Lonchura striata: one gene and its partners. The protein of the gene in region 3 purifies or fractionates together with the protein of the main gene of each other region. This does not show direct contact. Links are inferred from orthologs where the notes say so. Each region holds a gene or a part of one and is shown on either strand. Other genes may lie near its edges.

Evidence for each region.
Region 1: the proteins of CAMKV (region 3) and PNN purify together in Homo sapiens (affinity purification with mass spectrometry; 3 studies listed by BioGRID and IntAct, counting the BioPlex papers as one, with this or other methods). This does not show direct contact. The link is inferred for Lonchura striata from reciprocal best matches to the Homo sapiens genes CAMKV and PNN.
Region 2: the proteins of CAMKV (region 3) and RNPS1 purify together in Homo sapiens (affinity purification with mass spectrometry; 3 studies listed by BioGRID and IntAct, counting the BioPlex papers as one, with this or other methods). This does not show direct contact. The link is inferred for Lonchura striata from reciprocal best matches to the Homo sapiens genes CAMKV and RNPS1.
Region 4: the proteins of CAMKV (region 3) and AHCYL1 purify together in Homo sapiens (affinity purification with mass spectrometry; 3 studies listed by BioGRID and IntAct, counting the BioPlex papers as one, with this or other methods). This does not show direct contact. The link is inferred for Lonchura striata from reciprocal best matches to the Homo sapiens genes CAMKV and AHCYL1.

Annotation. Positions count from the first base shown.
Region 1 is NC_134608.1:23,809,297-23,816,981, reverse strand, and holds the start of PNN (pinin), read left to right. Parts: upstream 1-4,680; 5' UTR 4,681-4,757; coding exon 4,758-4,870; intron 4,871-5,147; coding exon 5,148-5,219; intron 5,220-5,876; coding exon 5,877-5,945; intron 5,946-7,061; coding exon 7,062-7,134; intron 7,135-7,217; coding exon 7,218-7,312; intron 7,313-7,685. Other genes in the region: TRAPPC6B (trafficking protein particle complex subunit 6B), read right to left, coding at 879-962, 2,427-2,544, 3,570-3,637, 3,718-3,798. UniProt on the Homo sapiens protein: Transcriptional activator binding to the E-box 1 core sequence of the E-cadherin promoter gene; the core-binding sequence is 5'CAGGTG-3'. Capable of reversing CTBP1-mediated transcription repression.
Region 2 is NC_134618.1:1,871,277-1,879,005, reverse strand, and holds the start of RNPS1 (RNA-binding protein with serine-rich domain 1), read left to right. Parts: upstream 1-4,728; 5' UTR 4,729-4,775; coding exon 4,776-4,777; intron 4,778-7,729. UniProt on the Homo sapiens protein: Part of pre- and post-splicing multiprotein mRNP complexes. Auxiliary component of the splicing-dependent multiprotein exon junction complex (EJC) deposited at splice junction on mRNAs.
Region 3 is NC_134614.1:7,446,869-7,454,182, reverse strand, and holds the start of CAMKV (caM kinase-like vesicle-associated protein), read left to right. Parts: upstream 1-4,312; 5' UTR 4,313-4,430; intron 4,431-4,873; exon of another isoform or gene 4,874-4,968; intron 4,969-7,314. UniProt on the Homo sapiens protein: Does not appear to have detectable kinase activity.
Region 4 is NC_134632.1:1,192,482-1,200,411, forward strand, and holds the start of AHCYL1 (S-adenosylhomocysteine hydrolase-like protein 1), read left to right. Parts: upstream 1-4,926; 5' UTR 4,927-5,005; coding exon 5,006-5,110; intron 5,111-7,930. UniProt on the Homo sapiens protein: Multifaceted cellular regulator which coordinates several essential cellular functions including regulation of epithelial HCO3(-) and fluid secretion, mRNA processing and DNA replication.

The DNA of each region.
Region 1 (7,685 bases), on a different chromosome or scaffold from region 3:
AGACTTTGTCAGGTCTCTAATAGATGAAACCTCCAATATTTGGTAGAGTGGAGCTTACTACACAGATTGTTCTCATTAGAGGCAGTATTCTGAGTCACCTTCTCTTTCCATTAAGCCTGTAGGAACTTAATATCCTTAAAACAATTATTCCCAAGATTTGGCTAAAATTAGCAACTGGTAAGAAAAAACAGTCCAAGACAGCATTCTTGTGCAGGCCATACCTTAGAATACAAGCACCTGCAGATATTTAAAATATGTGTTGCAAAACAGAATAAATATTTCACCAAACACACAAAAAAAATCCCAAAGACAGCAGCCAGTTGGGAGACTAAGATCAAGAATTAAGAAACCATAAAACAGAACTTAATGTCTCATTTTTTAATCCACCTGAACTAAAGTACTCTATGATAGGTTATACAGAGCTATTACCATAACTCAGTATCTGCACTCAAAACTATTTTTAATTGGTAGATCTTTCTGAATGTTCACATAATATCAGAGGCTTGTTTTATGTAACAAATAGCATCATCCAAATATGTTTTGGGAATTTTAAAGGTTTCTGAAAACATGCTTCCCAAAGAGAAAGAATCTGTGTGACACTGGCAGGTAGTGGCAGACAAGCACCTGCACCATGAAGTAACTCAAGTGTAACAGCAGCAAGTTGCACAACAACTATGACCATTTTTCAAACTATAAATCAACTCCACTGTTCTAAAACAGGGTGCCTTTGTAAAAAGCACACAGGCTCTGAAAGCATATCTTTAGGTGCTCTTTAGAAGAATTTGTATCTATTTAATTACAAAATTTAAAGTTATTAATAGATCAAGGTAATTAAAATGAAACTGGTAGACCCTGCCCCACATAAAATCCAAGGGTACCTTTGGTGCATGCTCTAAATACTGCTTTCCTGCAGACATTTGTGTCAAGAGACGGAATTTATTGTCTTGAAGGACATAAATACCCTGTTTAAAAAGAGAAAATTGAGAGGTTTAATTAAATGTGCAGTAATATAAACCCCACATTTTCTGTGAATGGATTTGATTTGTAGATAAAATATATAAGGTTGAAAAATAAAATTTTAGATTAAGTCATATGTGATTTAAGTTTAAATTGCATTATTTACTTGCAAGGAATATCAAAATAAAATATTCTTAATTGTGAATATACAAAAAAACTCTAGATAATAACATGATCAGTTAACCCTAAAAAATGTTTATGTACATTTCTTCTTGGAAGAGTACTTCCAGTGATCAGAAAAAAATAGTTCTATATTACAAAGTCTCTGGTAATATATCAAATGCATACTGGTTTTACATTCAAATCTTCATCTTCATTGGGTTTTGCACATCTCTATTCTTATTCTCAAATTCAGTGGGGTATTACTTAATAGCAGTACAGGCAACAACACCCAGCAGACAATCAAAGTAAAGGTCTGGTGTTTTCTACAATACAATTTTGTGCAACAATAGGCATCTTAATAAATTAAGTATAAACTCAGTATAGCTTTATCTACACCGGTCATATTAATTTCCTTGCTAATGTGCTACTTCGGAATTTCACAAGCCTTGAACTTAAAATAAGGCTGCATATACAATTAAGACCTTAAGCTCAATACTACAGCTTTTTTGAACTAAATCCCCAGATTTCTAAAGTAATAATTATCTCTTATTACGTGATTAAGTCCATGTAAAATAAAACCTATATATTCATCACAATCCTTGTACAAATCCTTTTCTTCCCAATTTGACACAACAGGGAAATGGCTGTAAGAAAACCAAGTAATTCAATTAGGAAAAAGATTTTTTAGTCTAGTAAAATGGCTCCTTAAGTTATTTTGATCTGTCTTTAAGAACTCTGGCTGTTGATATAGGAAAGCACATGGATACAGTACAATGTCACCAACAGGCAAATCTGAGAAGTTTCTCCACTGCTTCTTATACAAGTATTTTCAATAGATTACAACTGTCTCAACTGCTGAAAACTCTTAACATTCTTCAAAGTAAAAAAGTCAATTCACTGCAGCTATTCTATTTAAATAAATGCTAAGAGAGTAACATCACTTTTTCACTATTTTTCTACTAACATTTATTAAGAGACAGATTTAAAAGTTCTTGTTTAAATGTTCATCAATTGTAATCATTACTGTCCTTTCTGTCACACTGCAACAGTGCATATGAAATTCAAAGCATTTAGTCTTTTCAAACAGGGAGGCAATAAAGACATTATAAAGGCAATTACTAAATTGTATTCTAAAGCTACATGATAATATGAATATTGAAAAACACACTTTTTAAACAAAACAAATATGGAACATTTTGGATTTCTCATCTGGTAATTACTTCTGACCAAGCAAAACAAAAAATGCACTAGCAACTCAAAACTCTCACCAATTTTCTACATTAAATCTTAATCTTCAGCATTAATACCTGGTGATTAGTCCTTAGGTTATCTATTTGTTTCTTGAATACCGTTGTCCAAAAATCTTTGCAAATGAACTTCATAATATCTAATTCATCCTTGAACCTGGCAGTGTCTTTTGTAAACCTAAGAGAAAAGTGAGATAACACTGAGTGGTATACATAACCTGACCAATTTAACATAGAAATAATTTTTAATGGTACTATACATAATTTTTGAGGTTATTATAGAAATTAGTTTTCCAGCCATCGTGTAGTACCATTCTACCCTCACTGTCCATTCATCAAATATTTTAACTTGAGCAACAAAGTGTTATCTTAGTATCTGCAATATGATAGCAGAATATATTGTTTTAATTCCATAATTATCAAACATAGTTGACATACAGAAAGGTGGAAAGTGCTCCATCAGTTTTATCTTCAACAAGGTATCAAAACAGAAGATAAACAAAATGCTCACACCTATACTACTTATTGGAAGAAGTCCTTCAATTAGGCAAAACAGCTCTAACATAGGAACAAGCATATAAAACTTGTTCCCATTTTTCAGGAGGGACTTCTTTCTCTTGCTTATTTCAGACTTCTCTCCCTTTATCCTCCTTGAGGGTCTTTATCTGGCAGTAAAGGACCACTTTATTTAAGAAAAGCACGACTTCAGAAACTCGAGAGTCTCCACACGACCTCGGAACGAGGGCGCCGGTCCCCAAAGAGCCCGACCTGCTCAGTCGCGGAGTCGCAAGCGCTGAGAGCACTTTACGAAAACTAAATAAGAGTAATAGCCAATCATAAAATTATACTTAAGAAGTAAATCAGAAAAATAATGAAGCAGGAACTAGAAGTACCAGAAGCAGGAAACATACAAAACAAAGTAGAATTAAAGATAATTTTAAGTACTAAAAGTAACCATGTACCCTGACTCGGTTTCCATGACGGGAAGCACTAGGAAAACAATACACTCCAAAACTGTCTCATGATACACAGGCACAGGTCCCCACAAGAATGAGATACAAAAAGAGGAGATGCCAGAACAACTGATGGTTAGAGGAACGCGCTCTCCGCCCAGCCAAACCACCACACTTTGCCCGGAGGTGTGCTTTACCGGCGAGGCGAAAGCCCCGAGAAGGAGCAGCGGCTGCCAGGGCTGGCACTCACCTCTCGATGAGCCCCTGTCCGACGCGGAAGCCCATGCTCTCCAGCTTGGTGGTGCAGCGCCCGTTCTCCTGCAAGACACAAGGCGCCGCGGCCGCAGCGTCAGCCGCGGCCACCGCCGGGCGGCCCCGGCGGCCCCGGCCCCACTCACCCCTTCGCCCTGCTCGGCGGCGCGGTACATGCCCGCCACCATCTCGCCGTGCAGCAGCAGGAACAGCGCCTCGTCCGCCATCGCCGGGGCCGCCGCCCCTTCCGGGCGGGCCGGCCAGCCGCGGGAGCTCCCGGCCGAGGCGGGGCGGCCCAGCACTGTGAGCCGGAGCTCTGGGAAAGGGGCTCTCGGTTAAGGCTCTGCAGAGTCTGCGGACTCGGGCGCTGCCGGCAGCCGGGGATCAAACGCGCCCCTCCTGCGGAGCTGCCCCGCCCACCCTAGTGCTGGAGCCAGGCGGGGCGCCCGTGTGTCGCCGCCTCCTAGACAGCGCCCGTGCGTTCCCCTGCCCGCCGCGGGGAGCCCCAGAGCGACGTCGGCTGCAGCCGGGGAAAAGCGTGGTTTAAAGCCTCGCCGCCGCCCCGGGCGCCACGGCTGACGCGCACTGCGGAGCTTCCCTGCCACGCCGCTCCGGCGGGATGCGAGGGCAGGAGCGACCCCGGCACGCGCCGCCCGTCAGGCCGCCCCCTCAGCCAGCGTCGAGTAACAGCCCCGTCTATTGGCTCGCCGGGCACAGGCGCCTCTGGTAGCGCAGCGGTGATTGGCCCTCGCCTGAGTCCCGAGCGTGCCGGCGTCTCGGCCCCATCGAGAGTGGGAAAGCAGGATGCGCCCCGGGTGGGTGGGAACAAGCGGCCTCGAAGTGGTTTTCTGATTGGGCTACAAGGAAGTGACGTTTGAGTTCTTATTAGTCCTATGCCACGTCACTCCGGCGGTTCCTTTAGTATCCGTCGAGTAGAGCCTTCCCCAGTTGGGCGGCCGGGATGCCAGTCTGCCCCTGGGCTCTGTGATTGGGCACCGCTTCTGGCGAGCCACCTGGGGGGCGTGCCCGTTCCTGTCGCGCCCGGTGATTGGCGGTCGGAGGGGGCCCCCGGGGCGCGATTGGCTGCGCCGTGCGGGCCCGCGGCCGCCGGAGTGGGCGGGGCCTGTTCCCCCTGTTTCCCAGCGCTGCCTCGCGCGGGGCCCGGCCAGGCCGCGCGGCGGGCGGGATGGCGGTGGCGGTGCGCGCTCTGCAGGAGCAGTTGGAGAAAGCCAAGGAAAGCCTCAAGCACGTGGACGAGAATATCCGCAAGCTCACGGGCCGGGACCCCAATGATGTGAGGTGAGGCGGGGAGCACCGGGCGCGCCGCGGTACCGCGAAGGAAGGGCCGGGCGGCGGTGGGGGGGGCGGGCGCGCGTCGGGCCTGCGGGGCGGGCGGCGCGGAGCCGGCCGCGGGTCCCGCGTCCCTGTGCGGGCCGTGCCCGCCCCGCTGGTGCGGGATCGGGCAGCTCTGTCCCGCGGGGCTGGGGCGGAACGGCCGCAGGCCCGTTGGGCCGGGCGGGCAGCAGCGCCCCGGGGCCGGGCTGGCACCGCTAACAGCGCTTACCGTCTCTTTCAGGCCCCCTCAGAACAGGCTGTTAGCCCTCGCAGGCCCCGGTGGAGGTAGAGGGCGTGGGAGCTTATTGCTAAGGTAAGGAGGCGCGGAGCGGACAGTGGAGTTTCATCCATCCTTTCCCTGGCAGTGGCTCGTGAGCGCGTTCCTCGTTTGCTTCCGCTCATCGCTGCGGTACTGTTTGAGTGAGCGCCAGAGCTGCCCTACAGGGCTTCGGAGGTTAAGTTTAAAGCGCCTTTTCATTTTGAGTTGCTACAAGCCTAAATGGGTGGTTTTCCCCCACCTTCTCAGCCGTTAGGCTGAAAAATAAGGGGAAACGTCAAAATAAAGGGAGGTGTTGTGTGGTGGCTGGGACCTTGTCTTTGAAATCGTTCAAAATCAGTCTCTTGCTGGTTAAAAAACTGGTAGGTGCTCTAAGAAGGATTTTAAAACATATGTGGATAAAAACACATCCTGAAAATTAGTGCAGGTAAGATTGTTTGAACACGATAGGATGCTTGTTACAGCAGAGCTACTCAGTTAAATAAGTGCAGAAATTCAAGGTTAAATTACATGGTTCACAAGCAGTGTGTTAGAACATTTCACTGCGGTGCTAACAGTAAATAGTGATAGAGCTGAGTAAAGTTTATGTTTAATCATGACCATAAAGCAAAATTTTAGTTAAATTGTGCACACTTGAAGTGCTCCAGGGATTAACCTAAACTTGTTCTAAGACCGCAAGCGTTTTGTTTTTAGGCGTGGATTCTCGGATAGTGGAGGAGGACCCCCAGCCAAACAGAGGGATCTTGAAGGTGCATCCAGTAGGTGAGTGCAAAAACTAATGCAGCCTACTTGCTTTTCAGAATGAGAATTTGTAACAGTAAACCAAAAACTGGAAATAACTGGGGACATTCACTGTCTTCTTTGGAGATTGCTTACTGAAGACTTGTTGGGAATAATTTGGGTGACAGCAAATCACGTGGTGAAATCTTTTTCATACCTTAGAGCAGCATAAAGGTGGTAGCAATAATATAAAGATGTAGCAATACAAAGATATCTGTAATTTTTTTGTTTTATTTGGTGTACATTCTGCTATATTACATTCTTTTTAGTTATGACATTTGTTTACAGTGAGCAAAAATTGAATTATGACTGAGACCTGTTGAATAAATTGAGTATAGGCAATATGACCATGGACTTGGGTTTTGGGCTTTCACATCTGGTTGCAAATCCATCAGATGTGATTGATAATAGTGAACTCAAGTGCTGTGGGCACTTAATGTGTAGTGGTAGTTCTTGACCAAAGTAAAGCTTACTTTGGAATTTTTGAGTTAGCAGAAAATGAAGCTGGGAAGCAGGACAGTAATGCTGTGCTTACAAAGCTGAAAACAACTTCAACTTTAATGATTTATTTTAGGATTTATTTTATTTAAATTATTTATTTTAAGTTGTTCTTTGTTAAAGCCTTAGTTCATTCATGCCTTAAGTGGTAAGCCCTCTGCCTCTCTCCAATAGGTATTTGGTAGGTAACTTGAACAGCATTTCCTGTTTAAGAAATTATACCAACCTTTCCATGTCAATGCATTGAAGTCTGTCTAGTGATCCCTTTATACCAGTCGCCATTTTAGAGATTTCTGGAAAAGCACAAACATTTAAAAGAATGAATTACAAGTGTATTTTAAGAAGTCAAATATGATGTTTGCAGGTTCTTCTGTTCTTATTACTCAGCAATTTGTATTAAAATTTAAACTGTCTGTCTAATTGATTTTCAGCAATAATAGATTCTGTCTGTAAAATGTTACTTACTGGTTGTTGGAACAGTGGGGAGATTTTCACCGAAGTGTTGGTTCTTCTGACTAGACATGCTTGTATTTTTCTCATGCTGAAAGAGATTCTCTCCTAAACACATGTTCTCTAATGACCACTGGCTTTCTTCCTCAGGCTGGGTGGAGAGCGTCGGACAAGAAGAGAATCACGCCAAGAAAGCGACGCAGAGGATGATGATATTAAAAAGGTAATATATAGTAAATGGAGCTGTGCAAGCAGAAACGTACCTGCAACACGATCAACAAAGTAGTTTGTTTTTCATTCTTGTAGCCAGCGTTGCCATCTTCTGTTGTTGCTACCTCCAAAGAGCGAACACGTCGAGACCTTATACAAGATCAAAATATGGATGAAAAAGGAAAACAAAGGTATGCAGCAATCTTTTTTAAACTAACTTTTGAGTTCTGCCATATAAAGTAGCTTGTGATTTAAAAGATACTGCACACAAGCTGTTGTGGATCAAAGATTATGTTGAAGAGTTACCATTATAGTATAAAATGTAATTTAAAAAGTACTCTGAAAATACTTCACAAGCAGCATCATGTGCATTGTTCACATAACTGACATGGATTCTACTTTTCAGGCCACCTACAGGAGCAGTTTTGCTAGTGCTAGTGTTTTAACATCATTTGAGTAAGACAGAAATATCTGTAGCTTCATTGGTTGCTTAATGTCTTAGATTATTACAGCTATCTTGGCTCATCATTTATTTTGTTGGTTGAAGTAGGGTTTTGAATATGG
Region 2 (7,729 bases), on a different chromosome or scaffold from region 3:
CCTCCCACAGCCCAAAATCCAGAGGTGACCCTCAACGTTTTTACTTGGTCTGACAAACTCAGCATGGTTGTGATTCTGTACCTGGTGGAGGTTGGGTATGTATTAAGAAATTATTTGGAGCATCCAAACATGATATTAAGGCAGAACCACGGCCTGAAGGAGTAAGATGCTTTCACAGAGCATCTGGAGGCCTTTGGGAGAGGAGCAGGTTAGATTTCACATTCTGGCTCCAAAATCTATCTTTGCCCTCACACTGAACAAATGCATCAAGTAGTATTCAGACAAGAATAATAAATGCCAAGTATCTCACTGTCCTACCTCTACCTGTGCCTCTCTGTAAAGTGTTATGTACTTTGAGTCACTGCTCTCCACAGACACAGTCCTTCCAGCAGAGAGAGCTGCACTGGCAATGCCACAAGCACATCTTGAATTTCTAGTCTTTCACACACCTGAAGAAGAAATAAATAAATCACTGCAAAGTGGAACATAGTATTTATTCCTTGTGGTGAAACCAGGACGTTTGACTAAGTTTAGCATTAAGCAGGTATATTCCTATAGCATCAGGATGGAAGAGTGTTGCAGGAAAATGAGCATCAAGGCACAGTTTTTAAGCTAAAAGCCCTGAAAGATACAAATGTATGCACTGACACATCCAGAGGCAGATAGTCATGAAGCCCTAAACCTGTTCATAGCCTAGCTACCAGTGTGCACTGCAAGAATAGCCTTAGACCTCAAGAGAGTTCAGAAACTACTACAGATGGCTTAATAGACCTGTAAGTATTTCAACTAAATTGCTAAATTCACATCCTTCTGCAGATTAGAGGAAAATCCCAAAATCTCCTATTTTTGTTGTTCCAAATCAATGTAGCTACTCAACAAAGCAGCCAATGGAAACTCTCTCAACTTCCTGCAATGACAACGAAGGCTGTTTCTACACATTTGGATGAAAAGTTTCCAAGTCCTCTGAAGACAAATGCTCCACCCTGCAATTCCTCTAAGGAAGCCACACAGACCGTGCCCTCTGAAGCCACACACACATCTACCCCTACTCTCATAGAAGTGCCATACTCCCATAGGGAGTAACAGACTGAACAGGGAGGCAGACCAAAGATCTCCCAGCACAGGAAAAACACCAGCATCCAGAGGCTGTGGGCTGAGCCAGTGCTGCAGTGCAATCCCCACAAATGCAAAGGCACAGGGTGCTCACACCTCACCATGATAAAGGAATGCCAGTGTTGCTGTGAGCAGAATGACCCACTGATCGCCTGGATTTCCGGGGCCTCAAGGAGAGCTCTCTAGTCGCCACCACAACCCAAAGCCAATTAACAGGAAGGACAAATGAAGCGCCAGTTGCAAGTCAGCGCAACACACGGGACAAGCGCCCTCAGCCTCAGGCAGCGTTTAGAGACAATCAGCCCCAACCCCACTGGCACCGGAGCAGAGCAGTTCACCTGCGGAGGTGGCTGGAAATAGTCTGTCCTCAGCAGAAGCCTGGGAGTGCAGGAGGGAGGGGAAAGAAAAGCACTGAAGTAAGAGCCAAAAGCAGCACTCACACAGCTCTGTTATTTCATCTCTTGCTCGTCCACCAACACATGGGCAGTATCTAAAGGAATCTGCACTTCGCTGGAAAATTGCTGGGCAGGCTTCTGAGTTCAGGAAGAGCCTGGAGGACAGCACTTCTGATTGGGCGTGCCACTCCCAGCTCCCACACCGAACCTCCGCAGCGCACAGCCTCCGCACAGCCGGGGCCCCGGAACCCTGTCCTGCTGCACACTCCCTGCGCTGGCACCTCTGCCGGGAGTTCTCTCATCCTTCCCCACGCCACTCCCAGCACCCAAACCAGCTCAATGCACGGAAGCAAATGGGCAGAGCACCCACGTACAGGGACTCCCGACGGCTGCCGGGGTCCTCTCAGGCGACGGCACCAACTCGCTGCCGCTTTCTCCGGTGGCCGGGACCAGCTAGGTGCCAGCGCAGCCCAGCTCTACCGCAGCCAACTTTCCGGGAAGCGGCTGTTTGAAAACCTCCCGTGGTCTTTGTTTGGTTGGGGCAGAGCCAGCAAGGGCTGCTGGGAAGGTCACCCAGGAGGACACCGACGTAGAGGCAGGGCGGGGCCCTCCTCGTAACCCTTTCGGGGCAGCCGCGCTCCGGGGCCGCCGGGAGCCGCGTCACCTCGGGGCACGGACCCGGCTGTACCGTCCCGGAGCACGGCCCAGGGGTGGCTGGTCACACCTGCGCAGAGGATGGAGGACAAGCCTCACGGGAGCAGCGCTGCCGTCCCTACAGGTGCCCTTCAGCCCTGGAAGCACCAGCTCGATCCCTGCGGGGGATGGTGGCCGTGCGGTGCCAGCCGGGCTGCTGGCAGAGCGCAGAGGCCACAGCTGGGCCATTCCTCTGAAACTGAAGCAGACGCGTGCTTTGAGCTATTCTCATCTCTGCCAGTGTTCCCACATGAGATGTTAAAATGTCTCTCCTCGTTCGGGCTTGGCTTAAAGGCTCAGTCCTGCCAGCTGCTGGCAGCCCCTGGAAGCAGATCACACCCCCCACACGCTGCCACCACCGTCCTGGCGCTCTCAAATCTTCAGGACCCTGCTTCAGCTAACAGCTAGCAGCAAGCCTTTTTTACAGTACTATTATTTTTCTGCTGGGTCAGTGACCTTACCTGCCCACGTCTGGGGGGGATGAGAGTTGTTATGAGAATAAGGGTGTGCAGGACTTTGGGATCAGTTAGCCTTTATGGCTTTGCTATAACTGAGAGAGGAAAAAATGTTAAACACTGTGAATGCAGATAGGTGGGCATTGGGCTCTGCTCCTAGCGAACACTGGACAGGATAAGAAGAAATGGCCTTAAGTTGCACTAAGGGTGGTTTCCTTTGGATATGTTGTAAGTACATATTATATTGTTGGCTTCTTGCAAATATTAAGATCAATGCTGTATGTATAATGTTAAAATAACTTTGCTTTTATTTCTGCTATTAACAAAAATTTAGACATAGTACTGATAGCTGATACAGTTATGAGTGAACTGTCTGTTCACTCAGGATAACATCCAATGAAGATGTCATGAGGACCCTACTACTGATATGCCAACTACCAGCATCTGCCATCTGAAGAAAATATGGACCAAAGCCCAAACTAGAAGTGACAAAGAGAACAGACCAAAACCACAGCCAAGAAACATTCATGCTCTAAAAAGGCGGACCCAAGGAGGGCCCATGCAAAATAGTTCCTGGAATTGTTTATGGGAAGGTAGTTTATGGGAAAATATGACTATGCATAAGAATCTATGAATATGCACTGAAAAGGTATTTAAGGGGTATCTCCAAAGATAACAGTGTGCTCTTGCCTGAATGCTAAGCACCTGGCCGTTTTTAACCCTTTACTTTATTTCTGTCTCCTGTCTTTTTATTAAACTTTTAATTAAACTTTTATTAAACTTTAAATTAAAATTTTACCAGGAAAGTGAACCTCATTTTTCACAGATATTAGGGAAATACTCCTTGCAGAATGGGTGGTCAGGCACTAGAAGAGGCTGCCCAGGATAGTGGTAGAATCACCATCTCTGGAAGTGTTCAAAAAAATATGTAGATGTGGCATCTGGGGACATAGTTTAGTGGTGGCCTTGGCAGCACTGTGGGAATGGCATTGGAATTAGACTCAATGATCTTAGAGGACTTTTCCAACCTAAATGATTCCATGATTCTAAGCTCATCATGACAGTCTACTAATAGTGCCCATTTGACATAATGCAGTTTCTCATCGAACCAATGTGAACTTTTAGTAGACTACAAAATTGCCTGTGAGAGAAATCTGCCCTTAAACAAGATGTTGTGGACAGAAGAACAACTTCCTTTTTGCTTTCTTGGGGTTTTGTTTGTTTTCTTGTTTACTGAACCTGTTCCATGCCAGGTTTTATGTAATACCCCTTGATTTTGCAGCAGAACGGAGAATAAGTCTGTTTTTCTTGTTGCCACACACGAATTTAAAGATACCTGCCCTGGTCTTGCTCATGTCCTGTGATGGAGGTAGACAGGACATATCCTTCCACTGCATTCAAGAGGTGAAGCTTCCATCATTAGGAATTTAACAAACATGCCTCTGGCCATACACATAAGCAGATCGACACACCTCTTAGAAAGATCTGTCACTTTTAAGGCCCTGTATTAGGGATGGGATCAAAATACACTTCTGGCTTTGTTCCTCTCAAGTCAAAAGTCAGGCAGCCAATGTGGTGACGTCAGAGGTTCAGTGTCTGCAGTGGCAAATTCCCTTTTAAGTTCACAGCAAACACATTTGGCAGGGATATCCGTCCCACATGACATGAAATGCCACTGTATGGTGCTCCATCTTAAGTCTTTCATTCTCCTCTTCCCAATTTTCTTGCAGTTGAGAGGGCAAATCCCCGCACAGTAGTGCCATCCCTACACCCGCCACCACCTCAAATCAGAGTCTGTGCGCTGTGTGAGCCTGAGGCAGCGTGGGCCAGAATTCACGTGTGGGGGCTGCAGCCTACTGGGTTGTTAAGCTTTTAAAACCCAGAGCTGAAGCCCAAGCTGCTACTGTCATTACCACGGCTATGCAGGACAGGGTTTGCAAGAACCTTTACGTCAGCGGCGGGGGCAGCAGCAGCCGCCCCGCCACCCCGCTCCTGCTCGCTTGAAGCCCGTCCGCCCGCCCCGCCCCCGCTGTGACGCCATCACCGCGCGCGGCGCCGCTCCTTCCCGCCCGTCGCGTCAATCTCGCGCGACGAGCGCGGAGCGGCGGCGGGGCCGAGGATGTGAGTGCGGGGCGGGGGCTGCACCATCCGCGTCCATCCGGCCGGGCCGTGGCCCGACCGGCCCCTCCGCCGCGCGGGGCACCGGGGGGAGTGCGCTGGGGCTGCCGAGAGGCGATGGTGGCGCGAGGGTCGGGGATGGGGTCTCGGAGCCGTGGCCAGAGGCGGGGAGGGCAGGGGAGGGAGAGCCGGGGCGGGGCCGGCCGTGGAACCGGGCCCGAGTGTCGGCGGTGCCGCGGCCTGGCCTACGGGGAGGAGCGTTGTGCAGGCCCGAGGGACGGGTTGCTGTGCTGATCTCGCGGGCCCTGCCCCACGGGCGCCATACCGCACCCACGGCGGGCGGATCTGGCTGCCCCGCGCTTCGCCGGCCGCACAGCTGGGCCGAACGGCCGTAGTGGACAGAGAAGTGCCGGGCGCCGAACCCTCTTCACACCTGGAATTCTGCCGGTTTGCAGCTGAAGACCTGGAGCAAACTGTCAGTAAAGAACTCGCCTATAGCCTTAAGGGAAGCCTGAGGGCAGCGACTTTACTTCTTTTGCAGAGAACTGCTGCTCTGAGTGTGCAGATTCTGTCTCTAAAGCAGAAGTATGTGTGAGATGGGTTTGTGTAGATTGCAATTTAGACTTTCTGTTGTAGGGTGGATGCCCCTAAACCAGCTATTTTTTAGACAGTGAGAGGTTTTTGATTATAAAGATGAAGCATATAGTTTAGAGATGCAATGTTATTTAGCCTCGTGTGAGGACTGTGATTTATTCTTTCCTCATTTTCCAGTGAATGTCTGAACTTGTGCAGGTGAAAATGCCCTTGTGTAGGGTGAGGTTTCCAACTAAAGTGAGTATGGTCAGGGGCATTCCTGAGAAAGGATTAAAACCACTGGTTAGTTTGGAGACTGCTTTAATGTAGCATCATTTGGTGAATATTCCAAAGCTATGTGGCTGATCTGCCTGCTAAGTGCCTGTTCTAAGGAGCAGTAAGCAGGGAATCCTGAAAGGAGATTGTAGCCAGGTTGGGGTCAGGCTCTTCTCCCAGGCAATGGGCAACAGAACAAGAGGACACAGTCTTAAGATGCACTGGGAGGTTTTGATCAGACATTAGGAAGACTGTCTTCACAGAAAGGGCAGTTGGGCCCCTGGAAGGGGATGCCCAGGGAGGTTGTGGAGTCACCATCCCTGGAGGTGCTTATGGAAAGACTGGATGCAGCACTGAGTGCTCTGGTCTAGTTGACATGGTGGTGTTGGGTCAGAGATTGGACTTAATGGTCTCAGGTCTGTTCCAATGTAATTGATTCTGTGATTCTATTTCCTGCCTCAGCAGCAGGCTGGGTAACAGCAAACATGCTGGTCTTTATCTGTGTTTCCGTTTCCCTTCTCCCAGAAGGGGTAAACCAGATCTGACTCTTGAACACTAGCAGATAGTTTTGTATGCTGATAACATTATGACTTTGATAGTCCACAGGTGCAGGAGGAACTGATGTGTAGGCAGAGATAAACCAAACTTGGCTATGGGGTATTTAGAAGAAGAAAAATGGGCTATGGGTAACCTACTTGCAGCCTTCAGTACCTGAAATGAACCTATAAGAAAGATGGAGTGAGACATTTTACAAGGGCCAGGAGAAGGGGGAATGGCTTCTCACTGACGGAGGGCAGGTTTATGTTAGAGATTAGAAGAAAATTCTTCCCTGTGAGGGTGGTGAGGTCCTGACCCAGGATGCTCAGAGCAGCCCCATCCCTTGAAGTGTTCAAGGCCAGGTTGGAGCAACTTGGTGTAGCAAAGACCATAGTTGGGGGGTTGAAAAGTGATGAGTTTTAAGGTTTATGCCTTCCCAAACCAGTCAGCGATTCTGTGATTTTATGAAAGGAAAAATCTTAGGTTCCTGGTTTCACAAGACCAGAAAACCTGTCTGTTTTGTACCACCCAGCTGGGCTCATGCAGTGGCTTTACAATCTGTATGCCCCTCAGAGCTTGCACTGGAGAGGCACGGAGCTGGATAGAAATATCCTAAAGCTGAGTGATATACACAGGTTTGCTTGTCTTGGATCCCTTTGCGATGCTTGTGGGACAGTCCATAACTGCTTTCTTCCTGCCGCTGGTGCTAGAGGAGGCATTTCCTTTCCCAGCAGCTTCTGCCAGTGGCACATCTGTGGTGTGGGTTTCTTGTCCTCCATGTAGAAAGGCCATGGGTGTTTCTTGGTTTCTGCAGGGAGCTGGGTTTGTGAATAGTCATTTGTGTTGTTTCTTGCAGTTGGTGTATTAGGGAAAACTGTGAAGCTGAAAATCAGGAAAGCAAGTTTGGCTGTTCAGAAGTAATCTCTTCCCAACCATGCATTTAATTGCAATTCAGAGAATAAAGTAATTGCTGATCAGAAGCACAGAAGGAAAAAGATTGTTTGATGCTGTGAGCTGGTGAAGTTTTTTTCTTGTTCACTGAGTTTGCCTGTGATGTACATGGGGATGGAGATGTTTCCAATATCCCACATTACAGTGCATATTTGGTGCTGCTGCAGATAAGGCTGGCAGCTCCAACAAGCTTCTACTCATTCCCGGGATGTTTAATTCTTTGGTAGTTGGGAGTGTCACATTCCTTTAAAGGTTATTAAAATGTTAGAGGCAGATCTGTATCACAGGTTTTAAATGATCCCCATGGAATAATCAAAATGCTGCATGTTTATAGATGTTGCAGATTTTGTGATGGATGCAGCCTCATATGGTAGACATCTGGAAGTCAACTAATGCCCAGCATTTCAGTGCTAAATAGAGAGGTGTTAAATCTGTCTCCTTTTGGAGCTAGGGCAAAGAGGGAACTGGTTCTCTTAATCCAGGAGTTAGAAGTGAGATGTGAGACATGGGGCCCATTCTGTTGCTATGGATATCTCGGAAGGGGAAAAGGAGTTACTAGGATTGAAAAAGAAGAGGTTGCTAGAACTTTTTCTAAAGTGTCTGGAATTGCCTAATGCT
Region 3 (7,314 bases):
GAACTGCTTGTTAGCTGACAAGTCTGGTGTGGTTACGGTGATGTGCGTGTGGGCGGCCCCTGCTTTAGGCTGCCCCCCTCCCCCCACGAATGTGCTTGCAGAGATGACAGATTTCATGCTAATCCACATTTATCCTGCCCTAATTACGCTGCGGGAGGTGAGGAGTGAGCACCCAGACTTCCATGCCAGGGGCTGGCATGTGCCCACCCCTGTCCAGTGCTGCCTGACGCTGCTAGCTGGGACTGGTACTGGCACCGTGCCCACCGCCACGGCACCAGGGACAGGCAGGTGACCTGTCAGGGTGGCATCTTGCATGGCACCTGGCACCCCTGCCGCAGCTGGGGGGTGCCTTAGAGGGGCTACCTGGACACCCGCAGGTGGGCACTGGGTGGCGGCACCCTGAGGTGCTGTGTGGCTGGGTTTGGTTGGTGCAGCCCCGGGCTGAGCTGTGGGCAGGTGAAGCCGTGCCAAGCGGTGCCAAGCGGTGCCAAGCCACCTCGTGCCATGCCCATCCGCCACGGCTGCGGCAGAGCAGCCGGCGTCCCATCCCGGCAACGCGCCGTGCACACACAGCACTTTAAATGTTTTATTTGGGGAAAGTGCTGTCGTTAGCGGGGATTAATTATTAAAATCGGAGCCATCTATAAAACATGAGTGGCCGCACGCGGGGCTGCGGGTGCACAGGCAGAGCCGGGCACGGTCCCGCCACCGGCATCGCCCGGGGACCTGCTGCGACGGCGGTGATGCCGCAATGGCACCTCCACCGCAGGTTTGGGCTCCTGGTGGCAAAGCGGGTGCAGGCAGCCAGTGCCACGGGGTGGGGGCTGGACTGGAGATGGGCAAAATTGTGCTAAATCAGTGTTTGGGTGAGGCGGGGGTCTCCGGTGCCAGCCGTCCCGGTGAGAGGTGGCAGGAGGCAGCAGGCAGCGCCGAGCTGTTTTTAGCGGCTGCCGGTGCTGGGGAGCGGGCGTGAAGAGCAGCCGCGGCACCGACGTGCCATTTTTAGAAACCGGCAAGTTTTGCTAATGATGCCTGTGAGCGGCGGGGGGGCCGCACCCCGGCACCCCCAGTCCTGCTGCCCGCAGCCGGCCCCGCAGCCAGCCCTGTCCTCTGCCCTCCCCGCCCGGGGCCAGATCCTGCAACTGGGGCACAGCCCGGGGCACCCCTGCACCCACTTGAGGCTCTGCTGGCCCCCAGAGAGCTTTGATAGTACTTGGGGAGCTTCAGGGGCCCCTGGGAAGCTTTGGTAGCCCCTGAGGACCTTCCTTGGTCTCTGAGGAGCTTTGGTGGCCTTTGGGGAGCTTTGGTGGTCCCTGGGAATCTCTGTTGTCCTCTGGGGAAATCTGCTGATCCCCAGAGGAGCTTTGCAGGCACCTGGGGAGCTCTGCTGTCCTCCAGGAAGCTTTTCTTTACCCCAGAGCCTTCCAAATTATATGACACATCTTTTTCTTCTTTCTCTGTCCCTGAGACAGCACTGGACCTCAGCTGGGGAGGCTCACCCCATCCCAGCACCCACTCAGGACCAGTCCCAGCCATGTCCCAATCCTGGTCTTGATCGTGGTCCTGGTCCTTTCCCCTGGGGACAGTTCTCTCCCTGAGCTCTCGCCCTGAACAGCCTCCCTGCATCTTGGTCCCTATGGCTGCAGGTACTGCCAGAGGCCCAGGGGACCCAGAAGGTCTTTCAGTGGGAGGGGGAATCAAACCTTGATGCCATGTCATCACTGTAATGCTGGAGTACACTGTGGAAAACAAGCCCCTTTTCCCCATCAAGGTTCCAGGGACGAGAGCCAGCCCTGGATGTGACAGGGACCAAGCCAGTGGAAAGGTACAAGGCTTTTTGTACTGTCATCGACACAGGGACAGCCCACATCAGGAGCAGGCTGGCCAGGGACAAGCAGCCACAGTCAGTCGTGCCCAGCCAGGTGTGGGCAACCCTGTCCTCACACACAGTGTGGTCACCAACTGGGATGGGCTGGCGGGGCTGCGGCACTGTGGGGGACAAAGTACCTGGTGGCAAAGCTGAGTGGCTCTCTGGCTGTGTCCCTTGACGCCTTCCAGGGCACATGGGTGCCATGGGACACCTGTGGGGAGGGCAGCTCTGCCACTGTGCGCCCCCATTGCTGCTCATCCCATTAAAGGGCCAGGGGTGGCGAGCAGCAGCTGCACCGCCTCTTTTTCTCTCCCCCTTGCTCCCCACCGGCCCCCCGAAAGAAGGGATGGGGTTTATTTGGCCCCGTTGCCGGGCCGACGTGCGCAATTATCGCTGATTGCCTGGCGGTTGCCATGGCGATGGCAAGCACGCAGGGATGCGGTGCCGCGTGGTGCTTGAGTCACGGACACGCTGAACACCCCCCACTGCACCCCACTGCACCCCACCGCAGACACGCCGAACATGCATCCCACTGCACCCCAGAACAAACATGCTGAGCACCCCCCGCTGCACCCCACTGCACCCCCCAGCACCCTCTGGGCTGGCCCTCCATCCCCTTCACCCTCCTGGGGCAGGGGGATACAGCAGCTGTCCCCCAGCTGAAGCAGGGCAGTATGTCCAGGTGTCCCCCACCCCCTGTCCCCCATCTGAGGCAGGGCTGTACAGCCAGGTGCCCCCAGCCCTGGCAGCCCCACCTTGGGCATCCCAGGCTCGCTCTCTCCAGAGGCGCTGCAGGAAAAATCACCCCAGGGCAGCCATGGCACCCCACACGCAGCTCTGGGGTGTAGTGGGAAGGGGGTGGGTGCATGGGGCAGCGGGACACGGCACTGTAAGGACAAATGCCATTGGGGTCAGCAAAGCTCATCACCCCAAAATGGGGCATGGAGTGGACCAAGATCTGAGTCAGAGTCAGGACCAGGAGGGGATCACAGCACAGTGATGGGACCCTGTGGCAGTCCTGCCACAGGCAGGAGACTGGTGCCAGGAGGTGATAGGCACGAGCCGGGGTCAAGGGACAATGGAGAAGTGCCACCACATCCCTCATGCTGCAAGCCATCACTGGGCAGCCCCGAGCCACACGGGTGCCTGCCGGGTAATTATGGCTTACGCTCTGGGTCCCCGCGAGGTGCAGAGATTAATAACTGTGGTGCGCTGCTGCCAGCCAGTATGATTAAACTCTTGATTAGAAGCTCAAACTACAGTGCCCTGCTAATTCCCCCTGCTCTCACACACCCTTAATCACCCAGCACAGGCGGTGATAGGCCTGGGGCTGGCAGGGCTCGATGCCACACAGGGGACGGGTGCTGGGAGCACCCCAGCTCTCCCTTGGAGTGCTGGCTGGTCTCCAGTGAGCAGAGGGGTGAGGCTGGCTTTGGGACCCTGGTGTCCCCTATCCATGGGCGGGAGAGGGCTGTAGGTCCCGTGAGTGGATGGCCACACCCTGTGGCAGCTGAGGACCTCAGGAGGTGTGGGGAGCTGGGGTCTGGTGGGTGCAGGGGCGGGAGGGGAGGGAAGTGGGGGTGCAGTTTGGAAGCAGCACCATATGGGCAGCAAATGCCAGTGTGTGGCACGCAGCCCTTGGGGAGGCTCCGTACACGTGGCTGCACTGTGTGAGGAGTGAGGGGTGAGGGGGCCCGGGAAGGGACTGGTGCCCTGTTGTGCCCTGGGGACTGTGCTGCCCACCCCAGGCTGGGTCCCGTGTCTGGGATGTGGGCAGAGGTAAGAGAATCAGGGTGGCCGATTTCTTGTCCCTTTCTTGTTCCTTGCCCCATGCTGTGGTACAAGGACAAACCCTGTTATAGGCAAGTGAGTAGAGCCTTCGGCCCTGCCCCTGGAGGAGAAGTTGCCTGGTTCCCACTGGATAACAGCACAGAGGCAGGAACATGTGTCTACCGTGTCCTCACGGCACCTTTTAGTGCCCTCAGGGGGCAGATACCTGTGACGCTGAGCCCACGCTCAGCTTTGCTAAAATCCTGCTCCCATCCCATCCCGCCCCGTCCCGTCCCGTCTCGGGCCGGGCCGGGCCGGGGGCCATAGCACAGCCCAGGGGATCCCGGCTCCCCCCATAGGGCACACTGTGGGGTCCCGTGGGGTCTCTGGTCCCACGGTGTCCCGGGCCCCCGGGCAGTGGCGGTGTCCCAGCTCGGTGCAAGCGCCGGGCCTCGCCCACGGCGGTGCGGTGGGTGCCAGCGCCACGCGTGACCCGTCCCCACGGGCGGGGCGCGAAGTTTGGCGGTGACGTCAGGGCGGGGCGGGGCGTGCGGGGGGCGTGGCCCCGCGGTCCCGCCCCCCCAACTTGCCGCGCCGGGCGCGCGGGGCCGCGCCGCACGGACCGACGGCAGGGCTGGGATCGGCTGGGATCGCTGGGACCGGCGGGGATCGGCTCGGCTCGGCCCGGCTCGGCCCCGGCCCGGCGCGGGAGGGCGGGCGGGAGGGGCGCGCTCCCCCCGAGCAGCGGCCCCGGGCCGCGGCCCCCCGTTGCGGTCGGAGAGGCGTGCAGGTGAGCGCCGCGCCGCGCCGGACCGGGGGCGAGGGGGGCCGGGCCCGGCGGGGGGGGGCGTTGCTGGCATCTGTCACTGTCTGGCCTGGGGCTGACCCCAGCTCTCCTCCCAGACCCCGGTGGCCCGGGACGTCCCGACGGGGCCGCGCGTATCCCTGTCCGGTGCGTGCGCGCCCCGACGGCTGCCCGCCGCCGCACTGCCCCCGCCGGCACCCCGCGTCCCGCAGACCCCGAGCCCCGACGGACGCCGTGGGCACGGCGAGCTGCCGGAGCCCGGCTCCCCCCGCGCCTCCCCGCTCGCCCCCCCGGGCCGCTGCTGCCCTGGTGCCGCCCCCGTCTCCGCGAGGAGCCCGGAGAACCGGGCCGGCACCGCTGGAACGGATGCTGCCGGGGAGCCTCTCCCCGTGCCCCCACCGCCGAGCATCCCCTCCCGGACCCCGCACCTCTCTCTCCCGCAGTCCGCTCCCTTCCCGCTGCCGCAGCGCTCCGAGCCGGCCAAACGCAGACCTCCCTGCGGTGCGCGGCCCGGGCTGTCCCTCCGCACACCCCGGGCCGGGGGCGGTGGCACTCCCCCAGCCCTGTCTCAGCCCCAGCCCGGCGGCTCCGCGGGCAGCGCTGGGCCGGCCGGCCCCTCCGCCTCCCCTCCGCCTCCCGCTGCCTGCACTAGCAATATTTCGGTCCGTCTTAGCCCGGCTGCGTTTTCTGCCTCTCCCCGGTACATCCTTCCCCCGGGACGTGGGGGCGGGATGGCAGGGGGAACCCCCCACGGACATGTCCAGGGCAGCTGCAGGTGGAAGCGGGGCAGGAGATGAAACACCAGCCAGTGGCACCTCACGCCGTGGGGCAGAGCTGGGGGTCGGGGGTTGGGGGGCCCCGCTGGCGAGGGCTGCACGGCTGCGTCATCCCTCCGTGCCATCCCCACCCGGCCACCCACTTCCCCGCTATTGTCTTACACCCGCTGTTGCTTCTGCTCCCAAATTAGACTCTTGGAGGGGGGTGCTGGCTGCGTGCGGGTGCCAGTGCAGCACCGAGCCTTCCCCCTGGCACCCCGGGGAGGGAGCACTCATCCCTTTGCCCACCTCTCACCTGGGTGCCCCTGCCCCGGTGGGGGTGCTCTCACCTATGGGGTGCAGGTGTTGACCCCGATGGTGGGCTGGGTGCCAGCCTCCCTTGCAGGGTATCCCAGGTGCACTGAGCCCCTCGAAGACAGCCTGGGGCAGGGGAGGGTGGCAACGCTCAGCCCTGGCAGGATGGGTGGCCACTAAACCAACGGGAACTAATTTTATGAGCGCAGATTAGCTGAGTGCTCTCATAGACAGCAATAAAATCCCAATATATCATCCCACCCGGGTCCCCTTCCCGGCTAATCCTGGCACCATGCTGCCAGTGCTGGCAGCCTGCCCATCCGCCAACCAGCCCTACCCCTGATGATCTGTGGCACTGAGCCCACCGCCCCTCCAGCAGCTGCCAGGACAGCCCTCATTCCCCTTAGCCAGGTAGAGTGGCACGGCAGAGCCGGTGTCGTGTGGCATGGGGACACAGAGGTGCCAGGCAGAGCATATTTGCTGGGAGAGATGCTGGGATGAGTCAGGTGTAGGCTGAAAAACCTCATCCAATCTAGGGCACAAGCAGTGGTGTCCCATGGGTGCTCTTCTTCTCTTTTGGGACTTGGTGCACGCTGAGCAGGATTAGGCAGGTGCTCTTACTCAGTGCAGGCTTTCCTGGCAGGACGGTGCCTGGGTGCCTTGCAAGCTGGGAGCATCCATCCTGTGGGCATTGCTCCAGCAGACACAGAGACAGGTCAGCCCCAAAGGATGGAGGCAGGAAGGAGCATCCCCCCATTCCCTGGCTCACTGCACTCATGTCCCACCCAGGTTTGGGTCAATCACCCCAGGGAGCACTTAAGTGCATGCCCTGGGTGCTGCAGGCAGCACGCCTTCCTCCCAGGGCCTGCACGGCAGGGACGGGGCTGTGCACCTGCAGGTGGGTCGGGTGCTGCCGGGTGCTGCCCGTCCCTGCCCCCTCCAAAGGATGTGCCGCTTTCTGCATCTTCAGCTCCCATTGCCATAGCAACAGGCTCGGCGCTTGGGTACCCGCGATGCCGGCTCCCGCATCCCGCATCCCGCAGCCATCCTGCCCGCAGCCCTCGCCACCGGGCCCCGGGCGCTGCCGGTATGGCACAGCCAGGCCCGTGCAGCACAGCGTGGTGTCCGGGGAGCCTTAGCGCTGGGCAATGGGTGCCTCCAGCATCGTGCCACCTTCCCATCACAAGGTCCCACTCAGGCCCATCCGAGAGGGTTGGGGGCCCCAGGCAGCTCTGTCATCTTCTGAGCCATCAAAACATAATGTCAGCTGAAACTTCCTCCCGCTAACACGGTGGGAAAGTGTTTCCCAGCGGGAAAGGGGAAGAAATTACTTTCTGTGATCAATTTTTTTTTTTCTGGGAAGCTTCCAAGAAGGATCTGGTTTTGAAGAGTTCCCAACAGGGAAACAAGGGGCAAAGCATCCTTCCTAAAGGGCTGGAGAAGCTGGCATCTGCCAAGGCTGGTGTCCTGACCGCTGCCCGTGGCAGGAGGGCTGGCACCTCCGAGCTGCAGTGCCACCTGCCTGGTGCCACAGTCAGGGCTGGTTGGGGATGGCAAGCTGAGGCTGGTGTAACCCACTGCACATGTGACAACGTGTGACAATGCTCTGCCTGGGGAGGCCCCATCTGCTGAAATGTTACCGTGGGCAAGACGGGGCTGAGAAACAGGAAAGGATCCGTTCACCTCCGCTTGCCTCCCCAGTGGGTGCTCCAGGCACTGTGCTAACCCTGACTGCTAATTAATCATTAATAATTCACAAACAGGGCCCAGAGGGGGAAGCTTGTGGCTGTGCTGGCAGC
Region 4 (7,930 bases), on a different chromosome or scaffold from region 3:
GGCCAGTCCTGAGACCCCCAGCCCTGACTTGCAACTCAAACCCTCACACTGTGAATATTTAAAGCCCACCCGTGCCCGTGTCCCTGCACGGGGCTGGGTTTGGGGTGACCCTTGGCACCATCCCAGTCCCTCCCCATCCTCCTGTTGTTAGGGATCATTTGTTTTTTTTCATAGAATGGATGAAAGTCTTTATCCTGCACAAATGTTCTGGGGGGCCGTGTGCCCCTCACGGGGTCCTCGCCGCGAGCTGGCCTCGCTGGGATTCCATTTCTTTGGTGGCTGCGCTTTGGAGAAGGGAATGGGGCTGGCAAGGATGGGATCCACGTGGGTGTAAGAGCTGGAAGTGCCCCCGCTGGGCACCCTGGGGCTTCTTGGCACTGCCCCGCTCCCGGGCTTTGGGAAGAGCCTGGTTTGGGATGCACCAGCCCTGGAGATGCCCCAAAATCCAACGGCTCCCTCCAGCCCTGGATGAAGCGTGGCCCACGCTGCTCTGGGAGTTTCAAGCATTATTTTTATATGAAGGATGAAAATATGGACAAACCCGACTGTTTTTAAAGAAAGCATCACTATTAATTTGGGGTTATATATATATGTATATATATATGTGTGTGTGTATTTATGACTGGCAGAAGGAGGGGGTTCCTGGGCGAGGGACTGGTGTAAATCAGGATAAAAGCCCTGATGCAGCAGGAAGTCTGGGGCCAAACTCCTGGTGGTGTAAGTCACCAGTTTACACTGTGGAGGAGCTGCTCCTGGGGGAGAAAACTTGCCTTTACCCGTGTTGGATTTATTTTGCCTTTTTTTTTTTTGTTGTTGTTGTTGTTTGGTTGGGGCTTTTTGTTGGTTTTGGGATGTCTTTTTTTTTTTTTTTTTATACAATGAAATCCTGAAATATTTTATACAAAGGCATTTAAAAGTCTATTTAAAGAAAATAATGGAAAACAACTTGTATATTTAATATTATTAATAAACAGAGATGTGTAGCTTGGTGTAAGTCTGGGATGCAAGGGGGGACTGGAGATTGTGGCTGCCCTGTCACATCCCTGGGGTCCCTGAGGGGGTGACTGGGGCTGAGTCCTGGTGGTTTTACCCTGACCTGCTTCCCTGGGGATGCGTGTGGGAGTTCGTGGCCACTGCAATGAGGGCAGAGGGATTCATCTGCCCTTCCTGCCCCAGCTCTGCCGGCACCGCTGAGAGCTCCAGGCACCGGCTCTGGTGCTGTGGCCCCCCAAAATCTGTGTGAATGGTTGGGAAGCAGCTGTTTAAAACAAAGACACTTGAGGCAAAGTTTCCTGGAGCACTTTGCTTAGAGTGACAGCACTGGAAGAGGCATTTCCTCCCCCCACATCGCTCCCCCTGCTTTCTTTCCTTCTTTCCAGGAGCAGGGCAGCCCCATACCCTGATCCAGCGTCTCCAGGGGGATGCCAGGGGGCTCCCCATCACCCTGGGTCCCTACCAGCCCATGGGGTGTGCAGGGTGAACACCCCCCCTGCTCATCCGAGGGGGGGGCAAGGGCAGGAGGGGTCTAGGAGCTTTCTGTGAGTGCCAGGGCTGAGCTGCTGCCTTGTTTGCTGACAACCAGGATTCCTCGAGGGGAGCTGACTCAGCCCAGCCCTTCCTCTCCCCAACAGCAGCCGGGGGTTTCCCAGGTCCACATCCCCTTCCCAGGGAAGTGGGACCTATATATATCCTGCTGGATCCGTGCCACGGTCATTATGGTCAGATTTGGGGGGTATTTGAGGCCGGAGGCTGCTCTTAGGGGTGGGCACCGTGCCCGGGTTTGGGGGTGCTGAGGGCAGCGAGTCCCTGGCCTGCTCCAGGATGCTCCAGGGTGCTCCAGGGTGCACCAGGATACACCAGGCAGCTCCACAGCTGCACAGGAGAGGGTGGCTGGAGCTGGATGAAGGCAGCTTGAAGCTAAGGCAGAGCTGGGGGGCAGAGCTGGGGGGCAGAGCTGGGAGCATCCCAGTTTGCTGGGCGGTGTGGGGACCACCAGTGCCCACCCCTCTGTGCTTACACCTCGCAGTTGCTCATCCCTGACTTTTTCTGGCTGCTCTGTGTGCTGTAAAAGCATCTGGAAAATGCAGGAAAAAAGCCAAACTGTCTCCCTGCCCTCAGGTTCGGGCCAGGAGGGTCCCTGTGCTCCTCATGTTCCCAGCTGGTGCCTTTTCCCCACCCTGTGTGGGAGCAGGGATGTGATTCCCTGCCCCGGGCACCTTCCACCCCCAGCCCCTGCAATCTGGGGGGCAAAACCTGCTCTCAGCCCCCCACTCAGGAATCCCATGGAGCTACATCCCTGTCCCTCAGCACCTGAAGGGGAGGGGAGAAAAGAACCCCCCATCCCAGGATTGAGTGGGGCACTCGGGGGTCCCTCCGGGGGTCCCAGATGGGTTTGTACTGCAAAAAGGTGCTTTGATGGGATGAGAACAGGGAGTTTGGGGGAAAAGATGGATGGTGGGAGGGGAAAGCATTGACAAGAGGCTCAGGGGACCTGAAGCATGGGCTGGCATGGAGTGACTATGGTCACCAGCACCCCCCCCCCGGGGGTCCTGGGGGTCCCCACAGCCCTGCTGCTTGTGGCATTGGCAGGGCTGGGACATCTCTCAGGCTCATCCCGTTCTCCCGAAACCTCCCAGGCACTCGGAGACCCCCCCAGATGTCCTGAGACCCCTCCCAAGAGCCCCCAGAGAGCTCTGCCCACCCTGGAAGCCTCCCCAGAGCCGCCGCGGGCACCGCAGAGCTGCTGACGGGGCAGAAGCAGCGGAAAGGCCCCGGGGCCGCGGTTCCCGGGGCACGGCGGCTCCGGGACAGGGTTTTGGCCGAGGAACTGCTGCAGGATTTAGGTGGCCAGAGGCCCATTTTGTGGCCAGACAAAGCGGTTTTGGTTAAAAACCGTTATCTGCTCTTTCCCCTGGGGATTTTAACCCACACGCTGATTTTTTTTTCCCCAGGTTGTATTTTAAGGGAGCAGCCCCGGGGAAGTGAAGGCGAACAGGGCTCAGAGCCCTCCCTGCTGCTGGGGGGCGTTTGGGGATGGGGTGGTCCGGGCTCAGAGCCCCCCGCCTGTCTGTCTGTCCTGGAATGGCCCCTAGAGCCCGTGTGGGACTCTGCGGAGCCGGGAGCGCTCCGGGATGCGGATGCGGCCCCTCAGTGTCCCTGGCCCCGGGGACAGGCTGGCTGTGACCCTCCCGGGAGCGCAGGAGCCGGCAGAGCCCGCTGCGGGGCGGTGAGCAGCAGGAGTGCGGGAGGAAGCCCCGGCCAGGCTCAGCACTCCCAAAAAGTGCTCAGCACCCCCACGCTGGGCTGGGGATGTGGGCGGGTGATTCCGAGCCCCGGTGGCTCCGCTCGGCTCGTTAATGGGTAACGAGGGCCGGGAGGCGCTGCCCCGAGCCCGGGGGGCTGGCACCGCGGGGGTTAACACCGCTGGGATGGGCACCCACAGCTCGGGACCTGGGGATGGACACCCAGAGCTCCGGGACCGGACACACACCTGGGGATGGGCACCCACACCTCCGGGACCCGGGGATGGGCACCCACACCTCCGGGACCTGGGGATGGGCACCCAGAGCTCCGGGACCGGACACACACCTGGGGATGGACACCCAGAGCTCGGGACCCGGGGATGGGCACCCACAGCTCGGGACCTGGGGATGGGCACCCACACCTCCAGGACCTGGGGATGGACACCCACAGCTCCGGGACCTGGGGATGGGCACCCAGAGCTCGGGACCTGGGGATGGGCACCCACAGCTCGGGACCTGGGGATGGGCACCCAGAGCTCGGGACCTGGGGATGGGCACCCACAGCTCGGGACCTGGGGATGGGCACCCACAGCTCTTTTAGTGTCTATACTTATTTAGAAAAATTGTATATAAATTAATATAATTTATGTAATACGCTTATATAATTCAGTAATTTAATATAAATTCATGCACACCATATATATATGCATAAAATTAATGTATAGAAATTTTATAGCTTTATAATAACTTAGAAATGTAAATATACATAACTTATAGATATAAATAAATTAACATATTTTGCACATTTATATATAATTAATATTTAATTTATGTGGTTGCTATTTAATGCATAAAATTAATCTTAATAATTTTTTCATTTAGTCTAAGTAAGGAATTTAATTAGTTTTAATTTAAAAACTAATTAAAAACTATTTTAACTAAAAAACTAATTATATGCATATATAATTATTTATTAATTAGATAATGAATTAATGATGAATTAATTATATATGAATTATATATTAATTACATATTAATTATATAATTATATGCACTACATAATAGTACATATTATATGATATATTATAGAAATTTATATGCAATTTTATTTATGTTATATAATTATTGTGGTTAATTGGGATTTGGCCCGCGCTGAGGTTCCTGACCACGCCCCCCTGAGTGACCACGCCCATCACAATAACCACGCCCCTCACCGTGACCACGCCCCCTGAGTGACCACGCCCCCTGAGTGACCACGCCCCCGTTGGCCCCGCCCTCGTTCCCGCCCCTCAGCGCCCTCCCCTCCGTGTCCGCCAGGGGGCGCCCCGCCCCTCGCCCGCTCCCCCGGCGGCGCCGCGCGGCCTCGGCAGCCCGGCGGATGACGTCACGGCGCGGTGACGTCAGGAGGCCCCGCCCCTGGCGCGCCGGCCGCAGACCCGCCGCAGGCAGCGCGCCGGCGGCAGCGAGCGACCGAGCGGGACCGGCCGGGCGAGCCGAGCCGAGCCGAACCGAGCCAGAGCTAGAGCCAGAGCCTGAGCCAGAGCCGGGCCGAGCCAAGCCAGAGCCAGAGGCGAGCCGGGCCGGGCTGAGCCGAGCTAGAGCCATAGCCGGGCTGAGCCGAGCCGAACCGAACCGAACAAAACCAAACCCAGCCGGGCCAGAGGCGAGCCGAGCCCGCAGTGCTCCCGGCCCCTCCGCCGGCCCGTGCCCCGTTTGGTCCCGCCGGCGGCCGCGGCCCGCCCCGCGTTCCCCGCCGCACCAGGATGTCGGTGCCGGAGCCCGCCGGCGGCGAGGAGAAGCAGGCCAAGGAGGTGGAGGACGCCGAGAAATATTCCTTCATGGCCACCGTCACCAAGGCCCCCAAGAAGGTAGCGGGGCCGGGACCGGGGGCTGGCTCGGGGTGCAGCCCCGGCTGCCGGCGGAGCGCTGTGCCGCAGGGGCACGGGCTGTGCTGGGCGCGGGGAGCAGCCTCCTCCCGGCGGGGGCGAGCAGCCCGAGCTGCAGGGGGAGCGGGGCGAGCGCCCGGTCTGCGGCGGGACTGGCCCCTGGCGGGGCATGCAGCCTCCGCTCCGGGCGGGGAGCAGCCCCCGGCCGTGGGGAGCAGCCTTTGGTTGTGGGGAGCAGCCCCCGGCCGTGGGGAGCAGACCCCGGCCGTGGGGAGCAGCCCCCGGCTGTGGGGAGCAGACCCCGGCCGTGGGGAGCAGACCCCGGCCGTGGGGAGCAGGAGCCCCCGGCCGTGGGGAGCAGCCCCCGGCCGTGGGGAGCAGCAGCCTTTGGTTGTGGGGAGCAGCCCTCGGCCGTGGGGAGCAGCCCCCGGCTGTGGGGAGCAGACCCCGGTTGTGGGGAGCACCCTCAGCTTTGGGGAGCAGCCTTTGGTTGTGGGGAGCAGTAGCCCCCAGCTGTGGGGAGCACCCCTCGGCCATGGGGAGCAGCCCCCGGCTGTGGGGAGCACCCTCAGCTTTGGGGAGCAGCCTTTGGTCGTGGGGAGCAGCAGCCTTTGGTTGTGGGGAGCAGCAGCCCCCGGCCATAGGGAGCAGCCTCTGGTTGTGGGGAGCAGCCTTTGGTCATGGGGAGCAGCCCTCGGCTATAGGGAGCACCCCTCGGTTGTGGGGAGCAGCAGCCCCCGGCTGTGGGGAGTACCCTCAGCTTTGGGGAGCAGCCTTTGGTCGTGGGGAGCACCCCTCGGCTGTGGGGAGCAGCAGCCCCCGGCCATAGGGAGCAGCCTCTGGTTGTGGGGAGCAGCCTTTGGTCATGGGGAGCACCCCTTGGCCATAGGGAGCACCCCTCGGTTGTGGGGAGCAGCCTTTGGTCGTGGGGGGACACGACCGTGCCCCGGCTGTGGGAGGAGCGGCCCCACAGGTGTGGGGCTGTGCTGGAAGGCTGGAACTGACTCAGTTTGATGGATCAGTTTAACTGGGAAGTGGGGCTTGTCCCCATGCAGTGGCAGAGAGGGGGACTGGCGAGGGGGCTGGGGGTGGCAGGTATGCCCCAGGGGGCTGCTGGTCCAGTTTGGGTGGGGAGGGAAGGGTTTGGGTGCTGGGGAGAGAGGGGTCTGTACTGGGGTACAGCCCTGGCCCGCATGGGGGTGAGGGGAGGACCAGTACCTGCAGGGCAGGTTCCAGGGGGCTGGGGCCAGCTCGGGTCAAGCCCTGGGGGCAAGAGCAGGGCTGTGGCATAGGGGGGATGCAGGGGGACAGGGTGACCCCGGGAAGGGGACAGGCAGGGTGGGCCCCTGGAATGGGACTGTGGCGTGATAGAGCTTTGTGGTGGGGACAAAGCAGGAGGGACCTGTCATATGGGAAGAGCCAGAAGCAGCAACCTGGAATCCAGCTGTGGGTCACTCAGAAGGGTGGCTGAGAGATTTCAGAGTGTTGAGTTTTTTTGGGGGCAGGTTCTGTTGGAGGTGTGAGTGGGAGCACCTTTGGGCTCAGGAAGAGGCTGCCGAGTCTCCTCAGTGCCCCTCCATGCCTGAAGGCCTCACAGGAGCTCTGAGATCTCCCGGTGCTGCTCCCACACCCCTGTGGGGTGCTCAGGCGGCACTGAGGGTGGGCGAGCGCTGGTCTTGCCCCTGAAGCAGGGTTCAGGACCCCCGTGACCTGGGGAGCTGGCCCTGAGCTCTGGGCTCAGTGCTGAAGTTTCAGCACGGTCAGGGAGGCAGGTCTGTGTTCCAGGCACTGCACAGAGCTGTGCAGCTGAACATTGCGTTCCCCTCGGGGCTGCAGCCGCCTGGAAGCGGTGGAAGCAAAGGCGGAGCAGTCACAGAAAATGGGAACATCCTCCTCCTTCGGGGGAACCTCTCCTGCCTGCTCTGGCCACGGCTGGGACTCGGGAGTGTCTGGCCCTTGGGGAAGGTCAGCTGGATTTGAGGTATCTTCTCTCCCAGGGAGCAGGGCTTGAAGACTGGGCCCTGTTTGTCTGGGCTGTGGACATGGCCTGGAGGAACGAGCAGAGGAATGTGGGGCTGGGATCTGCCTCTTCCAGCAGTGGCTCAGCACAGCTTCAGCTCAGGAATTGTTTTTACCTTTTCATAACCATCATCTCTGTCAGAGCTAACAGCAGGAGACTGCTCCAAGGAGACAGCAGGCTGCTAATCCTGTAGCATCCCATGGAACCAAAACACCTGTGGTAAAAGAGAGTCCATTGAGCATCCTCAGAGGCAAGTTTGCCATCCTCTCAGGGGGGTGAGATGTATCCCCAGAATTTTCTGCTGCAGACTTGACTGTGCAGCATGAGGAGCCTTGGTTGGACTCAGTGGCTGCTGCAGCTTTTCCTGGCTGGGTGAGGATATTGAAGGTGCCCAGAGCGACACACGACATTTGAGGCTGATAACATCAGAGATGGGGAGCGAGCTGAGCTGAGCTCAGGGAATGAATCGCTCCGGGCTCCTGTTTTCCTTGCCTGGCTAGTTCCTGCAAATAGTGCTGGGGAACAGCAGAGGCCTTGGCAGGAGGATGAAAGACCAAGGAAGGGAGAATTGCTCTCCTGAGATAAGCTGTTGAGTGCCCCCAGCTCTGATGCCTCAGAACATGATTGCAATTAAGCCATTAAAACGCCCTTCTGATTCCCTGCAAGTCAAAGTGGTTTTTGTGCCAGCTGCCCTGGACCTCCTGGCATGGTTAGAGGTCAGTGGAGATGGTGGAGAGAGATGATTTACCAGCACAGAGGTGGGCAAGATAGTGCTGTGCTGC